2 linked regions of the Lepisosteus oculatus genome follow. The protein of the gene in region 1 binds, or shares a complex with, the protein of each later gene. Links are inferred from orthologs where the notes say so. Each region holds a gene or a part of one and is shown on either strand. Other genes may lie near its edges.

Region 1 (16,301 bases):
AGCTGTTCATCCATCGTGCCTTGCGATGGATTCTTGTTAAAATTAAAAAAGAGAGATTCACCCGTTTTCTCTCATCCTGTCCAGCCTGTTTTTCCACCCCAATATGGTCCACGTTTCCCAGACTGCAGAGCTGTTTTCTGCAGAGATTGAAAAGCTATTTTCTTCGGCATGCTGACTGCCTTGTAGCTCATAATTACATCTGATTTAACAAAACCTAGAAATGACGATAACACGCCTATCAGTTCTGATCAAGGAGCTCAAATACATTCAGGAAAACAAAAAACACACCATTGAAAGGAGCCGTTTTACATTCAGGACCAAAGCCAAAGGCAGCTTATCTTACTGGGCTCTCTTGTATAAAGGGCCTTGGGGAATTATCTAGCTAGTTTTCAGTCTTTAAATACTAGGACAGTAAGATCCTGCTTTGGAGAGCTGATAACTAGTTAACCACATTGTGACAACCTAGGTGCTTTGAGAACAAGGCATTTCTGAAATTCATTAGCAATGCGCGTGTGAGCGAGACATGTTTTTACAGTTCATTTACTATTATGAATGCAAGTCACCATGAATAAAGGTGTCAGTTAAATAAATTATTAACAGTAACAAAAAGAAAAAATGGGCTGTGACAAGCTTTGTACTCATTTTTAAGGATTTATATGTCATAAGAATGGAAGGTGGTGTTTGCTTTGGCACAATTGCTATCTTAGACATTTAATATACTTTATATATTTCCCTAAAGCAAACAAAACTATTCCTCATTAGTATATTTTTGAAATTCCAGGGGTACATACTGAGAAGCTCTGGTTTACTAAACCTTCAAAAAATCCAGTTAAGATATTTTTGCATTTTTATCACCTTTTTTTTTTTATAAATCCTCTCAATTTAGAACTGCTAATGTGTGGCTCTTGAAGCGATGCGGATATGATCCTCTGAGATGCTTGCCTGCAGAGACATCCATCATTTGTGGAGTGTGTCTACTGCACACTCTACAGCACCTGCCAGGAGGACCAGCTGACTGACAGAATGACGCATCACTCACCTGTACCATTGCAAGCCTGCAGAACCCAGCAAGACACTGGAGTCACTCTCTGATACACAACCAAGACAAACCTGCCTGGCTAACCCCAGTACTATTCTATCGGTGCTCTGCTGTTGGGGGAAAACCCAATCTTGGCCAGCTAGTGACACGATCTAGTCTTGACCTAGTGATGCCTGGATGATGGAGCTGAACCTGTGCTCTCAGTAAATGCCTTGTGGGAGTGTTTTCCAAGCAGAGGGAGATAAGCCCTCTTAAAGCTTAGAGGAGAATTAAGACCTTCCTTGTGGTGGTTGTGTTGGCAGGTTCCAGTGCCATTAATTAGGGACAACCAGTCACTGCAGTGCAGGGAGAAAAGATAAGCAATGATAAAGATTTAGTGCTCAATCCTAAACTGAATGGTGACAGGATTTGCTGTGGGAGGACCACTGCTATTTCTGAGCAGCATCCAGCTGTTAGAAAATCCAACTCCAGTGGACATGAGGAGCAATACTTTTAAAATCTTTTCCAATTCTTTTTTAAGGCTATGTTTATGGGACAATCTCCGATCTACTACAAAAAGGACACAGTGAGGGAGAAAGCGCTGGAAGTTCACTCTCTACAGACTGTGTTGCCAAAGCAAGTAGATGCAATGTGCCGAGAGTTTAGCCTGACAAGTCTAAGGATACGTTTGCTGATTTCATTTTGCTTACCCAACGCATTTGCAATATGAAAAGTTTTCCCTTTTCATGGATCTTAGATTGCTTTAATTCTGCAAAACCAATTAAAACAATTTGTAACAACATTCAAGTTCCTTTTCAAACTGATCTGTCATCTGTAACAACCAGTGCAAGCTTGATTTCCTTGTAATTATTTCAGATAAATTTCACTTAACAATATTGTCCTTTGTAAAAAAAAAACATGGAAGTAATTAGCCTGTTATTCCATCCAAAGTTATCGTAACCTCATGTGCTCGAATGGCATTACCTTTCAGAGCACTTGAAGGCCACACAAGGGCCTTATTTTGTCCACTTTTTTGAACACATTAGAAAGGCAATTTCAGCCCATGTCTTATGAATGCTGGGATTTTAATGACAGTGCTTTGCAAGCCTGGGAGATTTTAAAATGTTTACAGAACTGACAAATCTCCTCAGCCGATCAAGTGTACAAGTTTCAGATCATGCCGTGTACAAACCTGGTCACCGTTCTGCTCGTCTATGGCACTAATTGGAAGCAGCAGGAGGCAGCAAAAGCTTATTCGCACATAAAGTACCCTGCTTTCAAAGTACCCAGGGCTTAAACTGAAGGTTGCACTTTGGCTCCATAATAGCCAAAAACATAGCAGATCTGTTCAACCTATACCAGTACTACAAAGCAAAACAAATTTCTATTTACCTCATTCTGAGCTCCTCAGTGGCTCACCTTGTAAACAGGCCTGTTCCAAGTACAGCTTGAGCACTACAGTGCAGACATCGCCACTTTGTGATGGGGGCTATGTCACCAGCCAGTCAAAACTGGGACTCTTCTGGCGGCGGCACATCACTGAGCAAGTACCACCAGGGCAAGGTGGGACTGAATTGTCCAGGGTACCTTGGCTTGCCACGAAGAGCAGATCTGTACCCAGCTCAACAGTGTTGTCAGTGAGGGCCAAGGGGTGACTCCAGACAACAGTGCCAGGCTTACTGTGGGACTCTGTCTGCAGGAGAGCATGCTTGGTCAACACTGTCACTGTCCCAGTACAAGATACATAGCAGCAAGCGAAATTCTGTAACAAGTGGGCATCCAAACAAGAAAGGGTTGCACAAAGATAAGAGGTAGCTTATTTTACAAAAGAGGGAAGTTTATTTTTATTTATTTTTAAAAATAGAAAAACAGGCTAAAACCAGAAATAAAAAAAGGGAAATGGGCAAAAAAACAAAACAAGTGCTTCTATCAGATCACTTTTCTTCCTGTGTTTTCACACCAATAGCTTAAACCTTGCAGCTGACATCCAAGTGTTTATTCTAAGACCAAAGAGTCCATTGAGAGGAAGTTAAAGCCCTGGGCATCAATGCAAGACTCCTGCAGGGTCCAGACTTTATTAGGATCTCTGACTCCACTCCAAGCAATTAATCAATTAAATCTATAGTGAAAGATTCATACACACTTTGCATGCTAATTACCATTAACTGACTTACTGGCAACTTTAACATTAAAAAACATGGTATTCCACAGAACATGCACTTATTACAATGTCAGACAGGAAAAAGTCTTGTAAAAGCTGCAATTTGAAATTGAAAAGGGTGCAGTCATAAATATTTTTTCCTCATTTTAGAAATAAGACATGATTTTTTTATGGCACATTTTGGTAAGCATGTCTCACTTCTCAGTAAGTTTAAATAAAATATTTTTAAGAGACTGAAAGAATGCAGCTGGAGAAATTAGGTTATCCAATCATGTCATTAAACCAAGATCTATTTTCCAGAGAGGAATGTCTGTGATGTTAACTTGCTAGACAAGCATCAGGTCTGTTCCTGCAAAATGAATACCACTGCACCTCAGAAAAATGCCCTGTTTTATTTCAGCTTTCTAAAAGGGAAGTTCAGTAGAACTGACTTTTCACTTTCTAAGAATAAAACAGCAGGGCGTCTTCACTCTCCAACAAGTGACTTGAAAACCTTGGTTTCAAGTGCCATTGTAAAGCCTTAATGTCAGGCCAGGCCATTGAGAAAGTATTATAAAACACTGACAAGTACAATAAATCATTCCAAAGCAATGTAAGGACTTAAAGTACAAAAACACTAAAAAAACAGAGTAACTACAGAAAATAAATTGTCGTGTCTCTTATTTTAACACCAAATATTCCCTTAGTACATAAAATGTTATATCAGATTGCAAACTATGACCTTATAAACCCAAACTGTACCTTTTTGGTTTTTATTTAGTTAACAAGTTAACATCTAATTTTCTGTAGGACGTGCATTTTAATAAAAAAATGTGCAATTCACTGTTTTCATATGAGCCTTTTTGGTTTTATTGTTTACTCGTGTCGTGAACAACGTTTCAGTAACAACGGCAATGCTGAGTTAAGGTCGCCATCTAGTGGAGAATGTTAAAACGACAATAGCTCACAATACCCGACTGGAAACGCTGTAAAAATGCAGGAGGGTCAAGATGGCGAGCATGCCTGGGTTACCCCCCTACTCTTTTCGAGAAACCCCCTGGGCTGTAGCTGTAATTTTAAGAACACAAGCAATCAAGTTATTCTATTCCAATCACGTTATTCTTAATCTAAGGTCCATTAATTGTATTACAAAGGACTTCAGACACAAATGAATTGTTCAACCAGTACCTCAGCTCTTGAATAGACATTAGTTAATTGATTTGAAGTGTAATTAAGCTCTACCGTCAAAGACACACTGTATCCTTAAGTATAGCAAGGAAAACAAAGCTACAAAGCATGATGAAGTGTAACCTGATGACCAAGACAGGAAAATGAAACTTGAATAAGTGAGACAGAAGTAACCAATCACAAATTCCATTAAGATGATAAAATATTTTATTAAAGGGAACATTCCTGATCATGTCTTTACAATCTGCAACAATAGGGGGCAAAAAATAGAATTTCTTCCTTTTCATTTCGTGCGAGTTGCGTAAGTAAGAGGTATTGGGCAAGTGCATGGCTTTGTAAGGTGTATGGCAGCTGGTATTGTAGATAAAACCTACAGAAGTATCATGACATTATTCCTTGAACAGCACTCCATGCAAACTTACGGTTTGCTCAAGCAGACATTTTCTCCACATTCCCATGTCTTGATTCTGAGATATAAGCAGAAATCATTTTTTTGTGTTGAGCACAAATCACTGAGACAACAGTTACAATCCTTCTGATGCAAAATATAATATGAGTAAGAAAAGGGGTTAAGTGCTTTGGAAATGCTTGCTGTTAGTTGGGACTACCATTGGAAAAGTAAAAACTAGATTAAAATGTTAGATCATATCAATCTTATTCTTCTTCAGGGTATATGGCTGTTTACATCATTTTATACTTAAATATTACAATAAGCAGTAATCTGAAATCTACCTACAATTGTATCACTCATGAAGTAGAGAAAATAAAATAAACTTATTAAATTGAACAAAAGAGAGATATTTTCCAGTATCAAAAGATGAGTTTAATGTCTTCCTGTGATCTGTATTTTCTAGAGACCATGTCAACGTTAAGTCTTCAGACTTTCATTCAATTTTTAATTTCATTCACACCCCAAATACCACAGTAGTTGCAGAAACTTCAAAATCATGAGAAGTCTTTACGTTTTGTAGTCACATATGTGAAACAAAACAGAGCACCGAACAGCTTCCAAAATCCAATCAGGAAATGAAAAACCTGTCTCCTTGTCAAGAAGTGATACAGATGGTTATCTTCAGAGATCTGCTCAGAGTGCTGTCCATCTGTGTGCCACAGAGCAAAATGTTATTAAAAAAACATCTACAAAATTCCCAACAAGCCCACACTTTTCTTTTTGGAAACCAGACTTCTCTATTCCACTACAGGTCTCTGTTACAAGCACAGTTGATCAATCCCAAAAAAAATCCAGTGCCGTCAGGAATCCATAACTCACCGATATGCCCAACATCCTGGCTCGACTCTCTTGTTGGGCTGTCCCAGACGGTAGCCTTATTCTGGAGCCACTCCTTCTGGCAGCTCTACAACCACAGGGGCACATTCCTCGGGGTCTATCTCAAAATCCCACCGGAACTTCTTGGTCAGGTAGACTTTGAACTTTTCAGCCCGTTTCCGAAGACCACTGTCCACACCAGGCCCACTCGTGAACAAAAAGAACTCCTGGGCAAGAGTAAAATCAGAGATCAGTGCAGAACATGCAGATGGGCCACATGACCACCTCTCGTTTATTACCACCCTCGTATTCTCCTGGCTGGTGTTATAACCACCCTCGTATTCTCCTGGCTGGTGTACGGCAAAAAACAAAAGAAGAACATGATTTTGTTTTAAATGAAAAACGTCTGACTAAGCTTCTTTCTGTACTCTTCCCTAGCTACTCTTTTATGTATAACTCTCAGATACTGTGAGTCCCCAGATAAACTGGTAGATCAAACACGATCTCAATTTTCAACAGAAAAAAAAAACTCGGAAGAGAAGACAACTTACCATGGTAAAACTTGGGGTGACAAACAGCTTAGATAATGAAAATCTATAAGAGCCCCGATTATGGCCTAAATGAAGCGCTAGATCACGCAGGACTTTAACCCTTCTTTTACTATTCATATTCTGGATTTGGAGTCTTCCTACGCTGCACAGCACTGAGGCAGCAAGACCAGCTTTGTGAAGAGAACCAAACAACCTACCTGCAAGGTGGAAGTGAGAAAGTTGTCTTTGGATACGATGTCTACAAAGAAATCGGGGGGAATCTCTCCCAGCTGGTGGTAGAGAACAGGGATGAGGTGGAGGTACAGGTTCCGGTGGTTGAGTATAGCCTCTTCAGAGCGGCATAGCAGGTTCAGAAGACATTTCCAGTGCTCAAAGCTCTCATACACATTCCCAATCAGGAAACACACAAATGCAAACTGCAACTCCCCTGGACAGCAAAACAGAAAAAAAAAAAAAAGAGAGAAGGAGGAGAGGAAAGGTCATTTACTTACAAACTGCATCAAAAGCAAAAGCTTATTGGAATCCTGAAAACTGAAGTTTGTTAGAATTACACTGAAATGAATGGCATTCAACTACACAGGCTAGTAGTCATCTCCTGATTTACTGTATGTGTTCAGAAAATAAAAAAGGCTGGCATTTTATAGCATCAATCAATGCAAGGAACTGTAAAGGCTTTGAATTGTGTCAGAGTGTGTTTTTTCAGTCCAGAACTCACCCAGCACTTGCAGTGGCTCGTCTTTGTAGTAGCGTTCTAGTAAGCTGTTGAGGGCATAACTGAGGTCCATACTGTACTGGGTGATTTGGGCAGGTGTGGCCCCCTCAGGGTAGGTCTGTTTGGGGATCTCTGAGAAGCGCAGCTCTGTGCCGGCTCTCAGCTTCATCTTAGGCAGCCTGTCCAAACCCTCCTGCATGCTCTGGCACTGGATGTCGTACCGTGGGAGGTTCTGCTGGACCCGATCTTCCGTGTGAGGCAACGACAGTTCCGGTACCACATCGCTGAAGGCACAGATCTTGCCATTCAGGGGCTGCAGGCGTTGTGCAACCTCCTGGGTGACGCGGTCCGTCAGGGAGACCCACTTCCGAAGCATGTCGTAGGGGTACGGTCCCAGAAAGCGGTCCAGATCGCGCAGCCCAGCCCGCACCCGGGCCACTTCCTCCTCGTTCTGGGAGGCGGAGAAGTCCAGGTCCTCTTGCTGGCTGTCCCAGTGAGCCAGCAGGACGTCTCGGGCTTTGAGAGAGAGGAAGACCCCAGTCCGAGGCCCAGTCTCCCCTCCTTGCTCCGGCTTGTTGGAAGCGCTGTAGTGCAGGAAGTGCAGGCCCGGTGGGATCATCTTGACCCCTCGGAACCTGGGACCCACCTGCCAGGTCTTGTAATCGATCCCCAGCTCCGACCCCTCGGGCACCCCCAACAAAACCAGTGTGGCCCCCTCCTCAAACAGACTGCAGGCCAGTTCAGGATCCATGTCCATGCTGGCCATATCTACTAGAAAGAGCACAAAACTGACAATTAAACACTTACATGGACCACAGCAAGACATCAAATAAAATAACCTAGGAGCTAAGGTTTTAATAAAGCAAAACATTGTGACATTTCTGAAACAAAAGGACCTAGGTATGGCTCCTCCATAATACTCGACAAGGCTTCTGCAACTACAATTCGCACCTAAAATAGTCAACTTATCTACAATGGAAAAAAAAACGACAATTCACTTTTAAATTAAGTCGTTCTTGTGGCTCCAGACAGCGTGAGAATGAAATGTCAAGATCAGTTTACCCGGTATTTTACATTAAAAAGTGCTAAGAATGATCTATACTATCAGTCACAATCACTAACCCCAACTTAGAAAAACAAAGATGTTTTCCCATAGTCGTATAATTCCTTTAGCACAAAGATGCAAGTATAAAATTACGAAAAAAAAACTGTGTTGAAACGTTTCGTTTTAAAAAAATCTTTCTAATTAACTGCGACTTCAACAATACGATTTCTTGGCACTGTACCGTAATTTTCTAGCCAGCAAAACGTTACCTTTGAGGGCCTAATATATATTTAGTCAATATATAATGAAGTCACCTGAACGATCACGGAGCGTAGCTCTGTAGCATAGCAGACAAAACTCCACGTTCCTGAACGTAAACGCGTAGCAACGTATTGTGTACCAGAGAGCTCACTTCCGGTCCTTTTTTGTTAAGGAACCAAAAACCAATTAGAAAAAAGGTTCCGATTATACAATATAAACATTTTAAGAATCTCCATAGAAAATTAATCCTTAATAGGTATTGGCCTCATTATGGAGCAGGTATGGCACCATTGGAAAAACTTCCCTATAGAAATCTGTAAAAAAAAAACATAATAAAGTAAAATTACGATATTTAAACAATCTGATATAAAAACAATATGTATTTTAGTCTTTAAAATAATAGTAATATTATTCTCGGGGGGAAAATACTAACACAAAAGAACTTAGGGCAATAGTAGATGCCTCAATGCAGGGATAAAAAAAACATTCCACAGCTCTTGAGGAGTTATTTGTTAAATTGGACCAATTTACAAACTTCTCCCTGCTCTTCAAATTCCGGCTCTCTAATTAGACATATAAAACCTATGTTCAGACTGGCCAACCAGGACTAGGTTTAGTCCACTGTGCTATAATTCAAAATGACTACACACCTATAGGGCCAAGCTGAATTCAATTGTTGTTCTAATCTTTATTTTAGCATGTAATATTAACTACCTTGAAATAATATTCAGTGAATTGAGGTGTTTTTAATCTAAATCCACAGTGTATTACAAGACATGAAATAAAATCACAAAGCTAATCAAATAAAGTAGGATTAAAATACTTCATATACAGTAAATGTAATAACAATAATTCATAGGAAGAAAAGACATGGTTTATTTAAACCGATCTATAAACTGCAGTCTTGTGCACGTCATGAAACAGATGAAAGATGGCCATCATTGAAGTTTTGAACACAGAAACATCCAAATATACAACAACATGCATTTTCTGTTTTCTTTTATTGACCTCACTCTATTTGCACCTTAGTCACAAACTATCTTATAAAGGTTATACAATCTTTTACAATATCCATTTAAATCAAGCTTCTAACTCTCAAGCATATGATAGCATTGCATTTCAATAAAAGCACCAAATGGAGAGCTCGAATCTTTTCCCTTCATTGACCTCAAAGTACTGAAGAAAGAGCTGCACGCGTGACGTCACCATGGGAACGGCACCATCTTGGATACCAACTGAACGTCAACACCTTGAAGGTCATTCTGTTAATCAGCTAACTTGACTCATAACAACCCTATAGTCATATAAACATTTTCTTCAGCTAATATATTTTTGGATGGATCTTGGAGACAAAATCAATACCCACAATAGAACATACAGGCAATATAGTATGTAAATACAGTACAAAGGACCAGCTATACAGGCAATATAGTATGTAAATACAGTACATGTTAACAATATAACTTTACGTTAGCCATACAGATTAAACAGCATTTTTAAATGTCTACAATAATAAATGCATTATAGCTTAAAAAGATCTTCTTAGACCATATTAATAACAAGATATGCTATTTTATAGCATCATTTATGACACCATGCTGATATTGTAAGACAGGCACATCTCAGAATTAATTAGAATATTGTGATGGTGAACAACATCAACTAAAAACAAAGAATCTATCTCTTGGAAAACATATAATTACAAACATAAATAAAAAAATAATATTCTTGTTCTTATAACTAGCATAGGTTTAGGTTAAGGGGATACATGTTAATAAATAGTACAACCTACTAAACAAAAAAATAAAACAGAAGTTGAAAAGTCTTTTATATTTTAATTTTTAAATGATTAAATGAAAAATGATGCATTTAATACATCTAACTCTCAAAGTCCCAGTATCTATACAGCATACTGTATGTGAGTATGGTACATTTCTATGAATATGTAAGTGTCTTTCCAAATATTTCTTCTTAAAGTATTTATAAAAGCTCTCACATTAGGTGTGGCAAAAGCTTATATTTTGTACAGTTTTTGACTGTAACTGCTAAAATCTTTATTGATTATTTACAAATCCCTTAACAGTTCTTTCCTTTAGTGTGTATTCCTCCTAGTTTATGTCTTTCTTTTTGGTTTTGGAGAATACATGATTTGTAACTTCTTCCAACACAATATTAAGGCCTCGATAATCTTCTTTTTCTTTTTTTTCCTTCTTTTCCCTCCTAAACCTTTACTATTTGTGCATACTGGGTCACCTTCTGATCTTCTTATCTGAAAAACAAAATACCAAAGCATATATTCCTTGTTAACCTCTTGGAGAAAAAAATCATTTCTTTTGAAGCATCACCAGGTGAGAATTTGTGTTGTGTACATGCGCTATTCAAAACTGTGGAAGCACAGCGAACAATGATGTTGGGGAAAAGGAGAATATTGTTCTCTCTTTTTCACTACAGTCCCTAGATTCACTTCTATCTTCACATCCCTGAGCAGAAATTCATTATCACAGACTTTTGTTCCTTCTGAAATCACCAGCAGTTTCAGAACCTACTGTACATGAGGATTAAAATCTCCAAATTGATTCCTTAATCAATAAGAATAAGCCTTAAGTGAGTTACTTAAATTCTTTTCCTGAAGTCTGTTGATGATTAAAATAAACTTATAAGTCTGTTGATGATTATAATAAACTCATAATATCTGCTGGACTTAAGCCCTCTTCTAAAGTGTTATATCACAGTAACTTACCAGGTCAGCATAATTGCAGTTTTGTTTAATAACCATTTCCATTCTTTTCACAGGGTTACCTAGGTTATTTGATCCTTTACCTTTGACTTGACATTTAAAAAACTGTGTCATATTGTAGATAGACTGCAGGATATGGTGTACCTAAAATAATCAAAATAAAATTTCAGGGTTTGAAACAAAGCACTGGCAGAGCAATTAGTTGAATTCAGATATTAAGCTAGAAGGCTATTTAGCAGATAATTCAGACTTTGCATCCTATTCCAAGACATGCTTCCTCGTAAGTGTCCAAAAGCATAATGAAAAAAAAACTTCCCTTTTAATTAACTTCATGTTTCTCTAAACCTATAGAGTATCATATTTACAAAAGATTTACAGCCCAATCATCAATCTTCAAATGAAAAGTACTCAGTTCCAGCACAAATTATACTCTGCTGTATCATCATGCACTGTTGCCTAGCCATGAAAAAACTGATTATGGGGTGGCAGTATACAACTTACTGCTTGAAAATCGTGAAATTGTTCTCCACGTTTTCTCTTATAATTTCTCCTCTGACTATCAGAAATCCCCATGCTTAGCTCAATGAGTAACTTGATGGACTAGTTTTTTTTGAGAACTCCTAGTGGTTTGACTGACATAAGACCAACACCTTTCACAATTCCCTTGACCCCAATGGCACTGAAACACGAAAAAAATAAATCTGCCGTGTGCTGTCCTTGGTGCTGAATACCTCTCTTGTAAGGGAGAATGGTATTGAACTGTTTTCTTTCTGACCTGCCTCCTGATCTGAATAAAGGTTTTTGTTACAGAATCAATGCATTTTATGTGACAATATGCTTAGAAATTAAAACTTACTGACTTTTCCTGACAATTGTTCAACAACGGGCTTACTGTGGCTTCATAGAACATTGTTCTACTTGTCATGGTGCATGCAAAACAGGACTAGGATGTGACATCTTGGAAAAGGAATTAAAAACTGAGTTATATTGCTCAGAATACTGTCTTCTATTGTTCTTATACTCTACGGATAGAAACCGGTGCCCTACAGAAATAATTATGTTCACTCATGTATTTTAAGATAGTGTATACAGCCTCCCTTGGGAATTCTGAGATTTATTTTTTTCTGTATTCTTTGTTTTCCTCCTGTTCTAAAAAATATACGAGAATATTACATACTGTAACTATAACGATATGCATTAATTAACTTTAATAGAGTACTAGGTACTGCAAATACACAATAGACCAGTCTAGATTCTGTTGTTTACATTTTAATTAAATAGATTTGTTAATTGTTTTTCTAAGATAACAATACAGTTAGCGTAAGTCATGTAACTTCCTACAGTTGTCAGTCTAATAGAATTTGGAATTTAATTTGAGTTACGATTGATAGCAGTAGTGTATTATGAATCTTTACAAATCTCCATTCACAAATTATACTCTTGATTTTAAGTCATGCAAGAAAGGCAAAACATACAACTGAGCTTTGTCCGAGTAATCACTATCATCCATGCTCTCAGCATGAACGAAGGTGATTTAGATTTTGTCTAGTGTATATATACATTTAAAGATCCTTGGAGTTTTACATACTATACCAGAATACCAGACACATACAGTATACATGTATACTGTACAGGACATACACACATCAGGTAAAGTACACACAAGTTACATTAGTGGAACTAAAATGGCTAAACTCTAAATCATACCTTTCCAGAGGGGCAATGGTCTCTTAAATTTTTATTTTCACTTGATGTGTCATAAGGACCTGTGAGGTTCTAAAAAAGAAGAATATTGATCAGTCCACAACAGCAATTAATTTAGGTTGAATCGCTACAAGATCTCCCAAACCACAAGAGGGCAGTAACTCACTGACTCTGACAATGTTTCGCATTGAGAAAGGCTGTTGCCTTTTAGTATTTTAAAATAACTCCCGTAAAAGTCAGGCAAATAACATCATGAATGCACAGACAACATACCCACATACAGTATAAATCCAACACACACTCAAACATATATAAAGATGAAGTTAAATAGTATCATCACCCGAAGAGGGACTTCTGTCCACAATGACGTGTACCTACAGTATATTCTGTAAAATTATTTTAACCATTAAACCTTGTAGTTGGACACTACACGAAAGCTTTTTTGATTTATTGAGCTCCTCATTTTGCAATAGTTCCTGTTTCATTACAAACACATACATAACAAGTACATACCAGGCTTTGGAGTTCTGTGAGGATTAGTTCTTTGTAAGCGATGAGGATCTCTTGATAGTTGCACCTCTGTCTACTGTTTGAGATGTCCGAAAACAATACCGTTACCACTAAAATACAAATCAGAGTCCTGGAGACACACTAAAAAAGAGAAATAAGATTAACAAACTCAACTGTCTCTTCTCTTATTACTATTGAAACTTCTTACAGCCGTAAAGAAGCGTTTTGTCCGAGCTTGTGAACGTCTGGCTTAATGAACAGCTGTCTTCGACAGTGTGTTTGGAAATATTCATATTAAGTATATATATATATTCATTAAGCAGTGGCAAAGAGCTATCCAGTAGTCAAGTCAAACTATGAAACCTTAAACGGGGAAAACGTACTTCAAAAAGCATTTGTGGGAATTACTGTACTTTTGAACTGGTACTCATTCACTGGGTTCCAGAATGCAATATTACAAACCCGTGACTAATGTGAACACCTTTAAACCCGTTTATCTATATCCGTTTACCGAGTTCGTGTCACAAACCGCATTAGACCCTAATCACTCACACACACGACACAGATATGCGCAGTTCGATAAAGAAGCGTTGTCAAAAGCGATCTCTTACCTACCATTTATCATTGTCTACTGGATGATCCTCAGATTTTTGAAACCCATTTGTCAGGCAACCACAGCAACAGAAGTTTCTCATGGTCAAACTGCGATTGCATCTACCGCGTTTCAGACATGCACTCCCTTTATTCCTCGACGGTCCCCGAAATGCAGTTTTGGGCGACGCTCGGAAATATCACTGAGTTTATTCTTACTTAAATTCTTTAAAATTAAAGTCGGCGTGTCTCTGGCCGGACGTGCAATGAAGTGGACTTTGTGCCATGGCATGCAACTGAATTCAACCCCTAAGCTCAAATTTCGTACCCCGTCATTTACTGTTGGTGGTGGGCTTCTCTTTTCACGTAAATCTAGTCTGATCAAGTCTTGAAAACTTCCGCGATCAATCACCATGCTTTCAGTTTCGTTAAACAAGAAAAACAAATCGTGTTAACATTAAATTTTTGTCTGTAGAGTAACGAGATAGCAGGTACCATGGCTGTAACGATACCTAGTTAAACTGCCCCTTATTTGACACAATGGAGAAGAGACCAGCTGATCGCTTTTCGTGTGCCGCAGGTCGTTTCCACACTTTTGATATGGGTAAAACTGCTGGTTCAGTTCACGTTTTCACACATTTAACCCTATTACACCCACAGCATTAGGCACTCTTAAATATCATTATCTTTAAAACATAAATCTCCAAGTTACCATAGCAATGTTAGGTAGGGGGTATTGTATGTTACGCACTCCAAATACATTAATTGAATTCGTCAATACGTGTTTTTTTTTTAGATTATACAAATTGTACGATTCCTAGACATTTACACCGCACGAAAGGATTTCCTGCGATTTTCTTTTCAAGAAAGAAAATTGGTGGTTTGACTTGAGTTTCCCGGGACAAGTGCTTTGCACCTAAAGGAGCAGCTTCACAGAACGCAGAATCAAGTTATCCGTTTAAAAAACTGCAAACGTCTTTGGTTTGTAACCAATTTATAAAATGTGACAATAAATGCGAACGGCAAAACAAGGTCTTTTGTTTCATTCTTATGTGTCAGCATGTGAAAAGACAGATTATTTCAGGATGATATTACAGATGATATTCTGTTTGACAAGGGACATATAATTGTAGCTTTGTCGAATGCCTCATCAATAAGCCCAGATGCTGTTCCTTGCCGTTTATTTCTACTATGGTATGTGTTTTTCACAAAAAATAAAAGCCAACCACACAAAGGAAATCCCCGAGAAGCAATCATACAGTTGCATCAACGTCGAGGGAATAGTGAGTGATCCATGTTTATTCTGCCAAGATTACTTGCGGCTTTGCGTCTCTGGAACGGTTTTCAATTTAGATTGATACATTTTTTCAGGCTTTATTTCATCCGCCTCAATTCTTTTGCTAACGTATAAATTACCTACTTGCCGGAACCCCTAATATTTAACAGATATCAACTAACAGGTTCTTAATTTACACATAGATATAGGTCTGCTGGCAGTGATTTAATTTGTATCCCAAAGAGTGAAGTAAAAGAAAACTTTATTATACTGTATTGAGACTGCGGAATTCATAGCCATGCCCTATTTAAAATCCCTTTTACAAAATTGCTTTTAAAACCAGACTTTTCACACTCGTTCTCATTCATATCAATGTTAGCTTGGTCATTTTAGCTCGCGTTATTTACCCTTTTTTCCATTTGAAATATATTTGTAAGGGGCTGAGTCTGAAAGGTGTTATAATAATAATGTTATTTATTGTGTAAAGAATATTACTTTAAAACCCAAACAAACAACAAGATTATTTTTTATTTTATCTCCAAATTTGTATCCACAATATTTTGTAGGGACAAAATATTATGACACAATTATGTAGGGACATTTGTTAATAGTAGTTTTATTAATCCATTTTCCTTTAATTAAAAAGATTAATGGAAAAATAACTTACAAGTAAAGGTCAGCTTCATACATTTACAGTTACCATTCAGTTTTCTCCCTTTTCAACAAAGTAAGCAAGTCAGGACACTTTTACATACAGTAGGAGGCAGTTACAATTACTGCCAAGCTCACTGTTGACCAAAAATATATCACTCAAAGGCTTCCCGAGGTAAATGCATTGTCGCACTACATAGGATACAGTCACAGTTTAAAATAAATCCAGCACTTTCAAACTGTAGTCTATGTCCCAGATCCAAAATAAAACAGAAAAAGAAATAAAATCTGTATATAAACCCCAAAGGTCGCACAATATTTACAAAGAGGAATTATTACATAAATATATTTTGTCAGGCCAAAAGATGCTTCAGTTCAGCGACACTAGATAGGACATCAATCCTTTGCTGAAGAAAAAACCAGGGGAGGTCGAAGGGTGATAAGTAGGAAACAGCACTTATAGTAATCATTCCTTAAAAGACAAAACAATACAACTTTTCACTTTTTTTATAGATGCATTTGTTGTTTTTTTAAAAAAACACACAGTGTGCAGTTTACATTTGCATGACAGGAAACGGATTTTCAGAGTTTGGGCATGCTCCGTTTGCTACACCTATGGGAAAGCATTCGGTTCTATATAAACAGAGTCG
Region 2 (15,868 bases), on another chromosome or scaffold:
TTGAATACTGCACACTGAGCACACAGTGTATAGAAACTGTCTTGAATACTGCACACTGAACACAGTGTATAGAAACTGTATTGAATACAGCACACTGAACACAGTGTATAGAAACTGTATTGAATACTGCACACTGAGCACACAGTGTATAGAAACTGTATTGAATACTGCACACTGAGCACACAGTGTATAGAAACTGTCTTGAATACTGCACACTGAACACAGTGTATAGAAACTGTATTGAATACAGCACACTGAACACAGTGTATAGAAACTGTATTGAATACTGCACACTGAGCACACAGTGTATAGAAACTGTATTGAATACTGCACACTGTACACTGGGTATAGAAAGTGTAGTGAATACTGCACACTGAACACAGTGTATAGAAACTGTATTGAATACTGCACACTGAACACTGGGTATAGAAAGTGTTTGCAAACTGGTTTCTTACCGGAGTCTCAGGTAAGCAGCTCCCGGTGCCCAGTCTGCGTGTCCGCGGCCGTGTGCTGACGTGCGCGTCACGGGCGGCGGTAGTGTACCTGCGCGGGGTGGGGCAGCGGCGGCACACCTGCGCGTCACACCTGCGCGTCACTTCCAGGTGCGGCTCCGCGCGTGCGAGCGGCGCCTGTCGGCTCACCTGCAGCGCCGGCGGCGGAGCAGCAACACGCCTGCGGGTCGAGTCTGAGCGCCTTCCCTCCCGGCCGCCGCACTTCCCCGTTTCTCAACCACTTTCAAACTCACAGAGCTTTATTGGCATGACGGCTGAGTCACAGTGCCGCCAAAGCAGCAAAAGTGAGTCAACATTTAAAAAACTGTCGGCTACATGACACAACACTACTGAGAGACAGGCTGCGTGCTCCTCAGGCTGGGACAGGAGATCACACACTGTGTTATTATTATTGAGAGACAGGCTCACTGTCTGTTCCTCAGGCTGGGACAGGAGATCACACACTGTGTTATTATTATTGAGAGACAGGCTCACTGTCTGTTCCTCAGGCTGGGACAGGAGATCACACACTGTATTATTATTATTGAGAGACGGGCTCACTGTCTGTTCCTCAGGCTGGGACAGGAGATCACACACTGTATTATTATTATTGAGAGACAGGCTCACTGTCTGTTCCTCAGGCTGGGACAGGAGATCACACACTGTATTATTATTATTGAGAGACAGGCTCACTGTCTGTTCCTCAGGCTGGGACAGGAAATCACACACTGTATTATTATTATTGAGAGACAGGCTCATTGTCTGCTCCTCAGGCTGGGACAGGAGATCACACACTGTATTATTATTATTGAGAGACAGGCTCACTGTCTGTTCCTCAGGCTGGGACAGGAGATCACACACTGTGTTATTATTATTGAGAGACGGGCTCACTGTCTGTTCCTCAGGCTGGGACAGGAGATCACACACTGTATTATTATTATTGAGAGACGGGCTCACTGTCTGTTCCTCAGGCTGGGACAGGAGATCACACACTGTATTATTATTATTGAGAGACGGCTCACTGTCTGTTCCTCAGGCTGGGACAGGAGATCACACACTGTATTATTATTATTGAGAGACGGGCTCACTGTCTGTTCCTCAGGCTGGGACAGGAGATCACACACTGTATTATTATTATTGAGAGACAGGCTCACTGTCTGTTACTCAGGCTGGGACAGGAGATCACACACTGTATTATTATTGAGAGACAGGCTCACTGTCTGTTCCTCAGGCTAGGACAGGAGATCACACACTGTATTATTATTACTGAGAGACGGGCTCACTGTCTGTTCCTCAGGCTGGGACAGGAGATCACACACTGTATTATTATTATTGAGAGACAGGCTCACTGTCTGTTCCTCAGGCTGGGACAGGAGATCACACACTGTATTATTATTGAGAGACAGGCTCACTGTCTGTTCCTCAGGCTGCGACAGGAGATCACACACTGTATTATTATTACTGAGAGACGGGCTCACTGTCTGTTCCTCAGGCTGGGACAGGAGATCACACACTGTATTATTATTATTGAGAGACAGGCTCACTGTCTGTTCCTCAGGCTGGGACAGGAGATCACACACTGTGTTATTATTATTGAGAGACAGGCTCACTGTCTGTTCCTCAGGCTGGGACAGGAGATCACACACTGTGTTATTATTATTGAGAGACAGGCTCACTGTCTGTTCCTCAGGCTGGGACAGGAGATCACACACTGTATTATTATTATTGAGAGACAGGCTCACTGTCTGTTCCTCAGGCTGGGACAGGAGATCACACACTGTATTATTATTATTGAGAGACAGGCTCACTGTCTGTTCCTCAGGCTGGGACAGGAAATCACACACTGTATTATTATTATTGAGAGACAGGCTCATTGTCTGCTCCTCAGGCTGGGACAGGAGATCACACACTGTATTATTATTATTGAGAGACAGGCTCACTGTCTGTTCCTCAGGCTGGGACAGGAGATCACACACTGTGTTATTATTATTGAGAGACGGGCTCACTGTCTGTTCCTCAGGCTGGGACAGGAGATCACACACTGTATTATTATTATTGAGAGACGGGCTCACTGTCTGTTCCTCAGGCTGGGACAGGAGATCACACACTGTATTATTATTATTGAGAGACGGCTCACTGTCTGTTCCTCAGGCTGGGACAGGAGATCACACACTGTATTATTATTATTGAGAGACGGGCTCACTGTCTGTTCCTCAGGCTGGGACAGGAGATCACACACTGTATTATTATTATTGAGAGACAGGCTCACTGTCTGTTACTCAGGCTGGGACAGGAGATCACACACTGTATTATTATTACTGAGAGACGGGCTCACTGTCTGTTCCTCAGGCTGGGACAGGAGATCACACACTGTATTATTATTATTGAGAGACAGGCTCACTGTCTGTTCCTCAGGCTGGGACAGGAGATCACACACTGTATTATTATTGAGAGACAGGCTCACTGTCTGTTCCTCAGGCTGGGACAGGAGATCACACACTGTATTATTATTACTGAGAGACGGGCTCACTGTCTGTTCCTCAGGCTGGGACAGGAGATCACACACTGTATTATTATTATTGAGAGACAGGCTCACTGTCTGTTCCTCAGGCTGGGACAGGAGATCACACACTGTATTATTATTATTGAGAGACAGGCTCACTGTCTGTTCCTCAGGCTGGGACAGGAGATCACACGACAGGCTCACTGTCTGTTCCTCAGGCTGGGACAGGAGATCACACACTGTATTATTATTATTGAGAGACGGGCTCACTGTCTGTTCCTCAGGCTGGGACAGGAGATCACACACTGTATTATTATTGAGAGACAGGCTCACTGTCTGTTACTCAGGCTGGGACAGGAGATCACACACTGTATTATTATTGAGAGACAGGCTCACTGTCTGTTCCTCAGGCTGGGACAGGAGATCACACACTGTATTATTATTACTGAGAGACGGGCTCACTGTCTGTTCCTCAGGCTGGGACAGGAGATCACACACTGTATTATTATTATTGAGAGACAGGCTCACTGTCTGTTACTCAGGCTGGGACAGGAGATCACACACTGTATTATTATTGAGAGACAGGCTCACTGTCTGTTCCTCAGGCTGGGACAGGAGATCACACACTGTATTATTATTACTGAGAGACAGGCTCACTGTCTGTTCTTCGGGCAGGGACAGGAGATCACACGCTGTATTATTATTATTGAGAGACAGGCTCACTGTCTGTTCCTCAGGCTGGGACAGGAGATCACACACTGTGTTATTATTATTGAGAGACAGGCTCACTGTCTGTTCCTCAGGCTGGGACAGGAGATCACACACTGTATTATTATTATTGAGAGACGGGCTCACTGTCTGTTCCTCAGGCTGGGACAGGAGATCACACACTGTATTATTATTACTGAGAGACAGGCTCACTGTCTGTTCCTCAGGCTGGGACAGGAGATCACACACTGTATTATTATTATTGAGAGACAGGCTCACTGTCTGTTCCTCAGGCTGGGACAGGAGATCACACACTGTATTATTATTACTGAGAGACGGGCTCACTGTCTGTTCCTCAGGCTGGGACAGGAGATCACACACTGTGTTATTATTATTGAGAGACAGGCTCACTGTCTGTTCCTCAGGCTGGGACAGGAGATCACACACTGTGTTATTATTATTGAGAGACAGGCTCACTGTCTGTTCCTCAGGCTGGGACAGGAGATCACACACTGTATTATTATTATTGAGAGACAGGCTCACTGTCTGTTCCTCAGGCTGGGACAGGAGATCACACACTGTATTATTATTATTGAGAGACAGGCTCACTGTCTGTTCCTCAGGCTGGGACAGGAGATCACACACTGTATTATTATTGAGAGACAGGCTCACTGTCTGTTCCTCAGGCTGGGACAGGAGATCACACACTGTATTATTATTACTGAGAGACGGGCTCACTGTCTGTTCCTCAGGCTGGGACAGGAGATCACACACTGTATTATTATTATTGAGAGACAGGCTCACTGTCTGTTCCTCAGGCTGGGACAGGAGATCACACACTGTATTATTATTATTGAGAGACAGGCTCACTGTCTGTTCCTCAGGCTGGGACAGGAGATCACACGACAGGCTCACTGTCTGTTCCTCAGGCTGGGACAGGAGATCACACACTGTATTATTATTATTGAGAGACGGGCTCACTGTCTGTTCCTCAGGCTGGGACAGGAGATCACACACTGTATTATTATTATTGAGAGACGGGCTCACTGTCTGTTCCTCAGGCTGGGACAGGAGATCACACACTGTATTATTATTGAGAGACAGGCTCACTGTCTGTTACTCAGGCTGGGACAGGAGATCACACACTGTATTATTATTGAGAGACAGGCTCACTGTCTGTTCCTCAGGCTGGGACAGGAGATCACACACTGTATTATTATTACTGAGAGACGGGCTCACTGTCTGTTCCTCAGGCTGGGACAGGAGATCACACACTGTATTATTATTATTGAGAGACAGGCTCACTGTCTGTTACTCAGGCTGGGACAGGAGATCACACACTGTATTATTATTGAGAGACAGGCTCACTGTCTGTTCCTCAGGCTGGGACAGGAGATCACACACTGTATTATTATTACTGAGAGACAGGCTCACTGTCTGTTCTTCGGGCAGGGACAGGAGATCACACGCTGTATTATTATTATTGAGAGACAGGCTCACTGTCTGTTCCTCAGGCTGGGACAGGAGATCACACACTGTGTTATTATTATTGAGAGACAGGCTCACTGTCTGTTCCTCAGGCTGGGACAGGAGATCACACACTGTATTATTATTATTGAGAGACGGGCTCACTGTCTGTTCCTCAGGCTGGGACAGGAGATCACACACTGTATTATTATTACTGAGAGACAGGCTCACTGTCTGTTCCTCAGGCTGGGACAGGAGATCACACACTGTATTATTATTATTGAGAGACAGGCTCACTGTCTGTTCCTCAGGCTGGGACAGGAGATCACACACTGTATTATTATTATTGAGAGACAGGCTCACTGTCTGTTCCTCGGGCAGGGACAGGAGATCACACGCTGTATTATTATTATTGAGAGACAGGCTCACTGTCTGTTCCTCAGGCTGGGACAGGAGATCACACACTGTATTATTATTATTATTGAGAGACAGGCTCACTGTTCCACAGGCTGGGACAGGAGATCACACACTGTATTATTATTATTGAGAGACAGGCTCACTGTCTGTTCCTCAGGCTGTGACAGGAAATCACACACTGTATTATTATTGTTAATATTAGAATTGAGGGACACTGTACAGTCAGGGGGCCATCTACAGTCTCTCGTGTGAGGAGTCTGTCTTGTCACAGATCCCAGCCTGCCCTCCAGGAGACACACACACACACACAGGGAGAGCAGCTGGGGGTCAGGCCCTGGCTCACGGGCCCAATGGAGTAGGATTCCTCTGCGGCCGCAGGATTCGAACCAGTAACCCCCAGCCACAGGCACAGATCTTGAGCTCCAGAGCCACCACACCATCCCGCCCCAATACAACGCCTTCCTTCGAGCAGTCAGTGGTACAATCTGGGGTACAGTCTGGGGTTCAGTCTGAGTTATAGTCTGTAATGAAGCAGTGCAGTCTGGGGTACAGTCTGGGGTACAGACTGGGGTACAGTCTGAGGTACAGTCAGGGGTACAGACTGAGGTTCAGTGTGGGGTACAGTCTGGAATACAGTCTGAGGTACAGTCAGGGGTACAGACTGGGGTACAGTCTGAGGTACAGTCAGGGGTACAGTCTGGGGTACAGTCTGGGGTACAGTGTGGGGTACAGACTGGGGTATAGTCAGGGGTACAGACTGGGGTACAGTTGGAGGTACAGTCAGGGGTACAGTCAGGTTGTGGAGTCTTCCCTGGGAGTGCAGGACACACTCTTCAGGACACACCTGGAGAAGACCCTGCAGCCGAAACGCTGTGTTTTCTCTCTTCTCTCCTCAGCAGGATTGTGGGAATGGGAAGGCAGAAGCCAGAAATGTATTTTGGTTCTGTCCTGTTTGCTCGTGGCTATGACTGTGATGAGGCAGCGGAGCACTTTGAGTGACACACTGCTCCAGCTGCGGTGTTCAAGGGAACGTTTCCGCAGGTCCTTCCTCCCGGCATATACCCATGCACATTTTGCACATCTTTTATTGTTTGACAGTGACTATGAGCATATTTTGCTTACTCTATTTATTTGATTTTGTATTGCTGTACTTGTTTTAATTTTCCGTCTAGTCCGATGTCTGTTCTTGCTCGTCTTGGGCTGGGCTGCTGTAACGCCTCAGTTTCCCTTCGGGATCAATAACTCATCTCGTCTAATCTCTCTATTGTAAAAACCTTCTGGACTGATTTGCAAACTTATATAAAAAAGAGGCGAATATTAATCATATTTAAGGAAACAGACGTGATGTTGAACTTCAATCCCATTGGAACTAAACGAAAATATATTTTGTAATTGACGATTATTATACCGGGACGTTATTCTACTCAGGAAGAGTCCTGTGTCTGAACATAGATGTGAGGGCGTATTTGTAGACTGTTTCGAAATGTGAAAACATGAAAGCGGTGCGGACCTTATCTCTATTTACTCTGTTTAAACGATGTTATCGATATGTTTTACGAACTCTTGTTTATACTGTATTTCCTTTTGTTGTTTAAATACAAAAAAGACTGTGGATCGGGGCTCAGACACGATGCTGTAAGATCTGTATCTTTTCCCAGATCGATGAGCACCAATGAGTCTTTTTTACTGGGGTTACTGGTAATCTCTCTTGAGCGGGCCGCGTCGTGCCTCGAGTCTGAGGCGAAAACGTCACTGTTATGATAAGAGCTAAATTTTGTGAGTTTGACATATGTTTGTAAAATATTTTAAAATATTTTATTTAAACACCAGAAATACAAAAAATGAGACAGAATAATGAAATATATACAGAAATAGACACTTCAAAGCCAGAGGAATCCACAGTTGTAAAAACTAAAAATTATACTTATTAGATATATCTTTTACAAAGGTCTGGCACGGCCGGATCGACATGACGTCAATAATCTGCGACTGTTCCCGTTCTTCTCAAAGGAAGGAGGTTACTTCCTCCCTCGGCGGCGCTGTTTATCTACGTCACTTCCTCTTGTTTGCGCATTGTGGCGCTGTAATAATTCACGTCGTGAGCACAGCTGTAAAATAAAGGTAAATAATATTACATATCAGTACTAATGATAAGCACAATCGTACGGAATTCTCATTGGGTCTGTCCTCATGTTTTTTTCTGTTTGGTGCTGTGAAAGTAACTCTGGATAGTAATACTGTTGGAGCTGTGTGATCATCTCCAGTAAATACTGGAGAGATTCAGAAATTAAAGAGACCTACTGTCACTTCAAAGTACACTTGTCTGTTGGGATTACATTCAGATTGTTATTCTGTGGTTAATCATGTTATTGAATCGTTAAATCAGTCAGTGCGTCTGTATTAACCCCTCTTTCTCTCCCAGTGCAGTGTTAATGTACTGGAGTGTCCAGTCAGTGTGTCTGTATGAACCCCTCTCTCTCTCAGTGCAGTGTTAATGTACTGGAGTGTCCAGTCAGTGTGTCTGTATGAACCCCTCTCTCTCAGTGCAGTGTTAATGTACTGGAGTGTCCAGTCAGTGTGTGTGTATTAACCCCTCTCTCTCAGTGCAGTGTTAATGTACTGGAGTGTCCAGTCAGTGTGTGTGTATTAACCCCTCTCTCTCTCAGTGCAGTGTTCATGTACTGGAGTGTCCAGTAAGTGTGTCTGTATTAACCCCTCTCTCTCTCAGTGCAGTGTTAATGTACTGGAGTGTCCAGTCAGTGTGTGTGTATGAACCCCTCTCTCTCTCAGTGCAGTGTTAATGTACTGGAGTGTCCAGTCAGTGTGTCTGTATTAACCCCTCTCTGCCTTATTCCTCTGTCTCCCTCAGGATGTCGAAGCGCAGGGTGATGTTTGAGGATGAGAATGGAGAGTACAGTCTGGAGAATGACCCTCCAAATAAGAAGGTTCAGTACTCTTTCTCAGCAGAAATACCATATGGTTAATACAGTCCTGAGTAGAGACCCTGTCTGGAGGGTATGAGACTGTATGTGAACACAGTACTGAGTGTGACAGTTTCTCGCTCTCTCTGCGGGTGTGTGTCTGTGTGTTTGTCTCTCTCTGCGGGTGTGTGACTGTGTGTCTCTCTCTCTCTGCGGGTGTGTGTCTGTGTGTCTCTCTCTCTCTGCGGGTGTGTGACTGTGTGTCTCTCTCTCTGCGCGGGTGTGTAACTGTGTGTCTCTCTCTTTCTGCGGGTGTGTGACAGTTTTTGTCTCTCTTTCTGCGGGTGTAACAGTGTGTGTGATTCTCTCTCTCCCTGCTGCAGGTGTGTGACAATGTCAGTGGCCCTGGCTCCAGGTTCAAGGGTAAACATTCCCTGGACAGTGATGAGGAGGAAGAGGAAGAGGGACAGAAGTATGACATGCTGGCCAGTGACGATGTGGAGGGTACTGTCTCACTCTGTCGTCGCCGTGTGAGTGCGGCTCACTCTGTCTGCTCTCTCACTCCCCCGCTGTCTCCCCTGTGCAGGCCAGGAATCGGCGACCCTGGACTTTGACGAGGGGGTGCGCATCACGCCCTTTAACCTGGAAGAGGAAATGCAGGAGGGACACTTTGATTCGGAGGGAAACTACTTCCTCAACAAGGAGCAGCAGATTCGAGACAACTGGCTGGACAACATCGACTGGGTGAGACTGGAGCTGGTCACACCACAGCCGGGCCAGACCGTAGCACTGGGTCACACCACAACCGGGCCAGGCCGTAGCACTGGGTCACACTGGAACCAGGCCAGACTATAGCACTGGGTCACACCACAACTGGGCCAGGCCGTAGCACTGGGTCACACCACAGCTGGGCCAGGCAGTAGCACTGGGTCACACTGGAACCAGGCCAGACTATAGCACTGGGTCACACTGGAACCAGGCCAGGCCGTAGCACTGGGTCACACCACAGCTGGGCCAGGCAGTAGCACTGGGTCACACTGGAACCAGGCCAGACTATAGCACTGGGTCACACCACAACCGGGCCAGGCCGTAGCACTGGGTCACACCACAGCTGGGCCAGGCAGTAGCACTGGGTCACACTGGAACCAGGCCAGACTATAGCACTGGGTCACACTGGAACCAGGCCAGGCCGTAGCACTGGGTCACACCACAGCTGGGCCAGGCCGTAGCACTGGGTCACACTGGAACCAGGCCAGACTATAGCACTGGGTCACACCACAACTGGGCCAGGCCGTAGCACTGGGTCACACCACAGCTGGGCCAGGCAGTAGCACTGGGTCACACTGGAACCAGGCCAGACTATAGCACTGGGTCACACTGGAACCAGGCCAGGCCGTAGCACTGGGTCACACCACAGCTGGGCCAGGCAGTAGCACTGGGTCACACTGGAACCAGGCCAGACTATAGCACTGGGTCACACCACAACCGGGCCAGGCCGTAGCACTGGGTCACACCACAGCTGGGCCAGGCAGTAGCACTGGGTCACACTGGAACCAGGCCAGACTATAGCACTGGGTCACACTGGAACCAGGCCAGGCCGTAGCACTGGGTCACACCACAGCTGGGCCAGGCCGTAGCACTGGGTCACACTGGAACCAGGCCAGACTATAGCACTGGGTCACACCACAACTGGGCCAGATCTTAAAACTGGATTATAGCAGGTCAGACTGTAGACCAGGTCACACTGGACCTGGGTGGTACTGGGGGGTGCGTCTTCTGGTGTGAGTGTGTGTCTTCTGCAGGTGAGAGGGGGCGGAGGGACGGGCTCGGTAGGTGTGGGTGTGAGGGGCGGGGTCTGTAGGTGTGGGCGTGAGGGGCGGGGTCTCGTGTGGGCGTGAGGGGCGGGGTCTCGTGTGGGTGTGAGGGGCGGGGTCTCGTGTGGGTGTGAGGGGCGGGGTCTCGTGTGGGCGTGATGGGCGGGGTCTCGTGTGGGCGTTCAGGGGCGGGGTCTTCTGCAGGTGAAGGAGTGGGCTTGTATTCCAATGAGGGTGAAACTCCTCTAGTACACCGTACGTACACGAGAGAGAATCTGGAATGGCGTCAATGACCCTGTCCCTGTCCCTGTCCCTGTCCCCCTCTCCCTCTCCCTCTCCCCCTGTCCCTCTCCCCCTGTCCCTGTCCCCCGTCCCCCTCCCCCTGTCCCTGCCCCTGCCCCTGTCCCTCCTGCCAGGTGAAGATCCGAGAGCGTCCCCCACAGCGCCGCCGGGGGCTGTCGGCCAAGCGCCGGCGCAGAGCGGGCGACGAGGACGAGGCGCAGGAGGAGCTGGAGAGGGAGCAGCGGGCCGGGGAGGGCGGGGGCGGAGGCGAGGGCGAGGGCGGGGGCGCCCCAGACACCAGCGCCGACGCCCCGCCCGACCCCCTGGCCTCCCTCAGCCGCCAGCAGCTGACGCAGGCCGTGGTGGAGCTGCTGCTGCCGGGGGAGACGGTGGCCAGGGCGCTGCGCAGGCTGGGCGGGCTGGGGGCGGGCGGCCGGGACGCCCCGGCGCTTGACCGGCTCACCGCGCTGGCCGACAGGCTGGTGGGCGGCGGCGACTTCGAGATCTACCAGCAGACCTACGAGAGCCTGGCCTACAGGTCGAAGGTCAAAGCCCCGGCGGGCGGCGGGCGGGGCGAGGAAGACGAGGAGGACGAGCAGCTGGACATGTTCGCTGACAAGATTGACGGGACTGAAGGGGAGAAGAGGAAGGAGGAGGAGGAGAGAGAGACAGGTGGGAGAGAGAGAGTGTGTGTGTGTGCGAGAGTGTGCATGAGTGTGTGTGTGAATGTGTCTCTGTGAGTGTATCTAGGTAAGTGTGTAAAAGTGTGTCTGAGTGTGTGTCTCTGAGACTTAGTGTATGTGTTTGAGTGAGTGTGTGTCTGAGTGAGTTTGTGCGATAGTGCATCTGTGAGTGTGAGTGTGAGGGAGTGTGTGCATACTTGTGTGAGTGTGTGTGTGTGTGTTTGAACCTATTTCACTGGTCACGAAGTACTGCACGTGCACCTGACCCCACGTGTTCTGACTGTTCAGAGTTTCCTCTCTGTGTTTCTCTCTCAGTGAGCCAGGAGGTCATGTGGGAGTACAAGTGGGAGAACAAGGAGAACTCAGAGCTGTACGGGCCTTTCAGCAGCCAGCAGATGCAGGTTAATATATCAGTGCAGTGTTAATGTACTGGAGTGTCCAGTCAGTGTGTGTGTATGAACCCCTCTCTCTCTCAGTGCAGTGTTAATGTACTGGAGTGTCCAGTCAGTGTGTGTGTATGAACCCCTCTCTCTCTCAGTGCAGTGTTAATGTACTGGAGTGTCCAGTCAGTGTGTGTGTATTAACCCCTCTCTCTCTCAGTGCAGTGTTAATGTACTGGAGTGTCCAGTCAGTGTGTCTGTATTAACCCCTCTCTCTCTCTCAGTGCAGTGTTAATGTACTGGAGTATGTCCAGTCAGTGTGTCTGTATTAACCCCTCTCTCTCAGTGCAGTGTTAATGTACTGGAGTGTCCAGTCAGTGTGTCTGTATTAACCCCTCTCTCTCTCAGTGCAGTGTTAATGTACTGGAGTGTGTCCAGTCAGTGTGTCTGTATTAACCCCTCTCTCTCTCAGTGCAGTGTTAATGTACTGGAGTGTCCAGTCAGTGTGTCTGTATTAACCCCTCTCTCTCTCAGTGCAGTGTTAATGTCCTGTGTGTAATGTAACCCTGATCTCTCTCTCTCTCAGGACTGGGTTGATCAGGGCTATTTTAAAGAAGGAGTTTATTGCCGGCGAATTGGACATCCCAGTGCACAGTTCTACAACTCTAGGAGACTGGACTTCGAGCTCTATACCTGACATCTGCAACTACACACTCACAGAACCAGGAATATTCTTACACACATACAATGATACACAAATATTCTTACACACATATGCTCCTACACACACATACACTCTTAAACGCACATATACTGATACACTCATAAATACTCCTCCACACACACTATTACACACACAGTCCCATGCACTGACACACTCTTGTGCACATCGACAGCTGACATACAGCTGTTCTCCATGGTGATGTTCTGTATCTGTACAGTTCTGCTCAGTTTGTAATAAAGGAAAGAGGATGACTTTAGATTTAAACATGCAGTTATGTTCATTTTTGTGTATTTTTTACTTTGTATTTTTTTTATTTATAGTGTATATGTGATTTGTATTTCAAGCTCAGTGTGTCTGTACAGAGTGACCACTCCAGTCCAGTGTCTCTGTATGGACACTGACCAGTCCAGCAGAGCTCTGTCTAGTGTGTCTGTACACACACTGACCAGTCCACCACAGTGTGTCTGTACGCAGTGACCAGTCCACCACAGTGTGTCTGTACAGAGTGACCACTCCAGTCCAGTGTCTCTGTATGGACACTGACCAGTCCAGCACAGTGTGTCTGTATGCAGTAACCAGTCCAGTACAGTGTGTCTGTACGCAGTGACCAGTCCACCACAGTGTGTCTGTACGGACACTGACCAGTCCAGCAGAGCTCTGTCTAGTGTGTCTGTACACACACTGACCAGTCCACCACAGTGTCTCTGTACGGACACCGACCAGTCCAGTACAGTGTGTCTGCACGCAGTGACCAGTCCACCACAGTGTGTCTGTACGCAGTGACCAGTCCACCACAGTGTGTCTGTACGGAGAGCGACCAGTCCAGTACAGTGTGTCTTTACGGACACTGACCAGTCCGGCAGAGTTCAGGACAGTGTGTCTCTATCTGTATGATAATTGAACAATTTCTCCTTTTGAATTGACAAATCTCAGTCTCTGCGAAACCAGCCCCGATCGAGCGAGGGCGGCTCCTTGAAGAGCGAACGGTGAAGCTCCAGCCTGCGGACACAAACACCGCTGTCCGTAAGAAGTCAGTGTCGCACAAACTGCGTCACTGCTGCGCCGCACGGCTGCGGCCAATGACCCCTTCAACGTCCAAGTCCCGCCTCAACAGAAACAATCAGATCCCGCCCTCTCGAAGTTTGCGTACTTCTGATTGGGCAGCGCTTCACGTCCTAGTGCGCCGATTGGTAGACTTTCCAAGTTTCTGCGAGGATGAAAGCCCAGCTCCATTTGCTCAGCTCCCATTGGCCTGCCTTCTGAAGGAAACGGCTCCCATTGGCTAGGCCGTTGCTGCCCTACTGCTTCTCATTGGCTGGGCTCTCCGCCAGAGCAGAGGGGCGGGCGCTGGCGGACGAGAGCGAGAGGTGATTGGCCAGCAGCGGGGCCGGAGGCTGGGTTAGGTTGTGCGTGAGAGGCGGCGTAGTGGCGGCGACGGCGGTGCTGGTCTGTTTACGGGTTGGTGGACAAACAGGGGAACAGCGTCGCGGCGCGCAGGTTCGTGTTGTTACTCGCGGGGGGAATCACGCTTTGGAACAGTCTGGGAGAGGAAGCGAGTGTTGTGTCTCTGCAGAAGATGGGCGCAGCCCGAAAAGCCGTGGAGAGGCGCTCGCGCATCTAGGGTTCGGACCCCGACCGGACCCGACCCGACCCGGTGCGCGTGTCCGTGGGCAGGGTCCCAGTACACCCACGGGTGGGCCCGGGCTCCTGACTCGGGCTGGGATTTTGCCGGGTTCGGTGTCTCCCGGACCCGTCCTGCTGCCGCGTCGCGTCAGGAAGCGGAGTTCGGACTGGAAGCGGCTCTCTGACGTCACCCGGAGCCCGCGCGAGAGCGAGGTATGTCGGTTTATTGGTTTGGTATCGATCGATCGATTGATTGGTTAGAAGTGCACACAGCTCCCGTCTCCGGCCCACGCACAGCGCGCCTGTTTCTGGCCGAACCGAGCCTTTGAAGCGCTGCTGCTGATGGGTCTGTGAGTGTGAAGTTATAGATGAGCCAGTCAGTGAGCTGGGCACATGTGTTAGGGGTCACACTGTACCCCTCCAGTCCAGAGATCACTGGTCCAGTCCAGTCTGGGGCACACTGTACCCCTCCAGTCCAGAGATCACTGGTCCAGTCTGGGTCACTCTGTACCCCTCCAGTCCAGTCGGGGTCACACTGTACCCCTCCAGTCCAGAGATCAGTGGTCCAGTCTGGGTCACACTGTACCCCTCCAGTCCAGTCTGGGTCACACTGTACCCCTCCAGTCCAGAGATCACTGGTCCAGTCTGGGGTCACACTGTACCCCTCCAGTCCAGTCTGGGTCACTCTGTACCCCTCCAGTCCAGAGATCACTGGTCCAGTCCAGTCTGGGTCACACTGTCCCCCTCCAGTCCAGAGATCACTGGTCCAGTCTGGGTCACACTGTCCCCCTCCAGTCCAGTCGGGGTCACACTGTACCCCTCCAGTCCAGAGATCACTGGTCCAGTCTGGGTCACTCTGTACCCCTCCAGTCCAGAGATCACTGGTCCAGTCCAGTCTGGGTCACACTGTACCCCTCCAGTCCAGTCTGGGTCACACTGTACCCCTCCGGTCCAGAGATCACTGGTCCAGTCTGGGGTCACACTGTACCCCTCCAGTCCAGTCTGGGTCACACTGTACCCCTCCAGTCCAGAGATCACTGGTCCAGTCTGGGTCACTCTGTACCCCTCCAGTCCAGAGATCACTGGTCCAGTCTGGGTCACTCTGTACTCCTCCAGTCCAGTCTGGGGTCACACTGTACCCCTCCAGTCCAGAGATCACTGGTCCAGTCTGGGTCACTCTGTACTCCTCCAGTCCAGTCTGGGGTCACACTGTACCCCTCCAGTCCAGAGATCACTGGTCCAGTTTGGGTCACTCTGTACTCCTCCAGTCCAGTCTGGGTCACACTGTCCCCCTCCAGTCCAGAGATCACTGGTCCAGTCCAGTCTGGGTCACACTGTACCCCTCCAGTCCAGTCTGGGGCGCACTGTACCCCTCCAGTCCAGAGATCACTGGTCCAGTCTGGGTCACACTGTCCCCCTCCAGTCCAGAGATCACTGGTCCAGTCTGGGTCACACTGTCCCCCTCCAGTCCAGTCTGGGGCACACTGTCCCCCTCCAGTCCAGAGATCACTGGTCCAGTCTGGGTCACACTGTACCCCTCCAGTCCAGAGATCACTGGTCCAGTCCAGTCTGGGTCACACTGTACCCCTCCAGTCCAGAGATCACTGGTCCAGTCTGGGTCACTCTGTACCCCTCCAGATCTGTCTGGGTCACACTGTACCCCTCCAGTCCAGAGATCACTGGTCCAGTCTGGGGCACACTGTCCCCCTCCAGTCCAGAGATCACTGGTCCAGTCTGGGTCACACTGTACCCCTCCAGTCCAGTCTGGGTCACACTGTACCCCTCCAGTCCAGAGATCACTGGTCCAGTCTGGGTCATACTGTACCCCTCCAGTCCAGTCTGGGTCACACTGTAC

Evidence for each region.
Region 2: aar2 (region 1) and cd2bp2 share a complex: the UniProt entries of both Homo sapiens proteins name them as parts of the U5 snRNP complex. The link is inferred for Lepisosteus oculatus from reciprocal best matches to the Homo sapiens genes AAR2 and CD2BP2.

Annotation. Positions count from the first base shown.
Region 1 is NC_090711.1:6,133,765-6,150,065, reverse strand, and holds aar2 (protein AAR2 homolog), read right to left. Parts: upstream 8,328-16,301; 5' UTR 8,236-8,327; exon of another isoform or gene 8,191-8,235; intron 7,648-8,190; exon of another isoform or gene 7,645-7,647; 5' UTR 7,643-7,644; coding exon 6,880-7,642; intron 6,592-6,879; coding exon 6,362-6,591; intron 5,841-6,361; coding exon 5,673-5,840; 3' UTR 4,536-5,672; downstream 1-4,535. UniProt on the Homo sapiens protein: Component of the U5 snRNP complex that is required for spliceosome assembly and for pre-mRNA splicing.
Region 2 is NC_090699.1:1,134,662-1,150,529, reverse strand, and holds cd2bp2 (CD2 antigen cytoplasmic tail-binding protein 2), read left to right. Parts: upstream 1-7,598; 5' UTR 7,599-7,707; intron 7,708-8,455; 5' UTR 8,456-8,456; coding exon 8,457-8,531; intron 8,532-8,890; coding exon 8,891-9,011; intron 9,012-9,093; coding exon 9,094-9,251; intron 9,252-10,737; coding exon 10,738-11,275; intron 11,276-11,601; coding exon 11,602-11,687; intron 11,688-12,252; coding exon 12,253-12,363; 3' UTR 12,364-12,654; downstream 12,655-15,868. UniProt on the Homo sapiens protein: Involved in pre-mRNA splicing as component of the U5 snRNP complex that is involved in spliceosome assembly.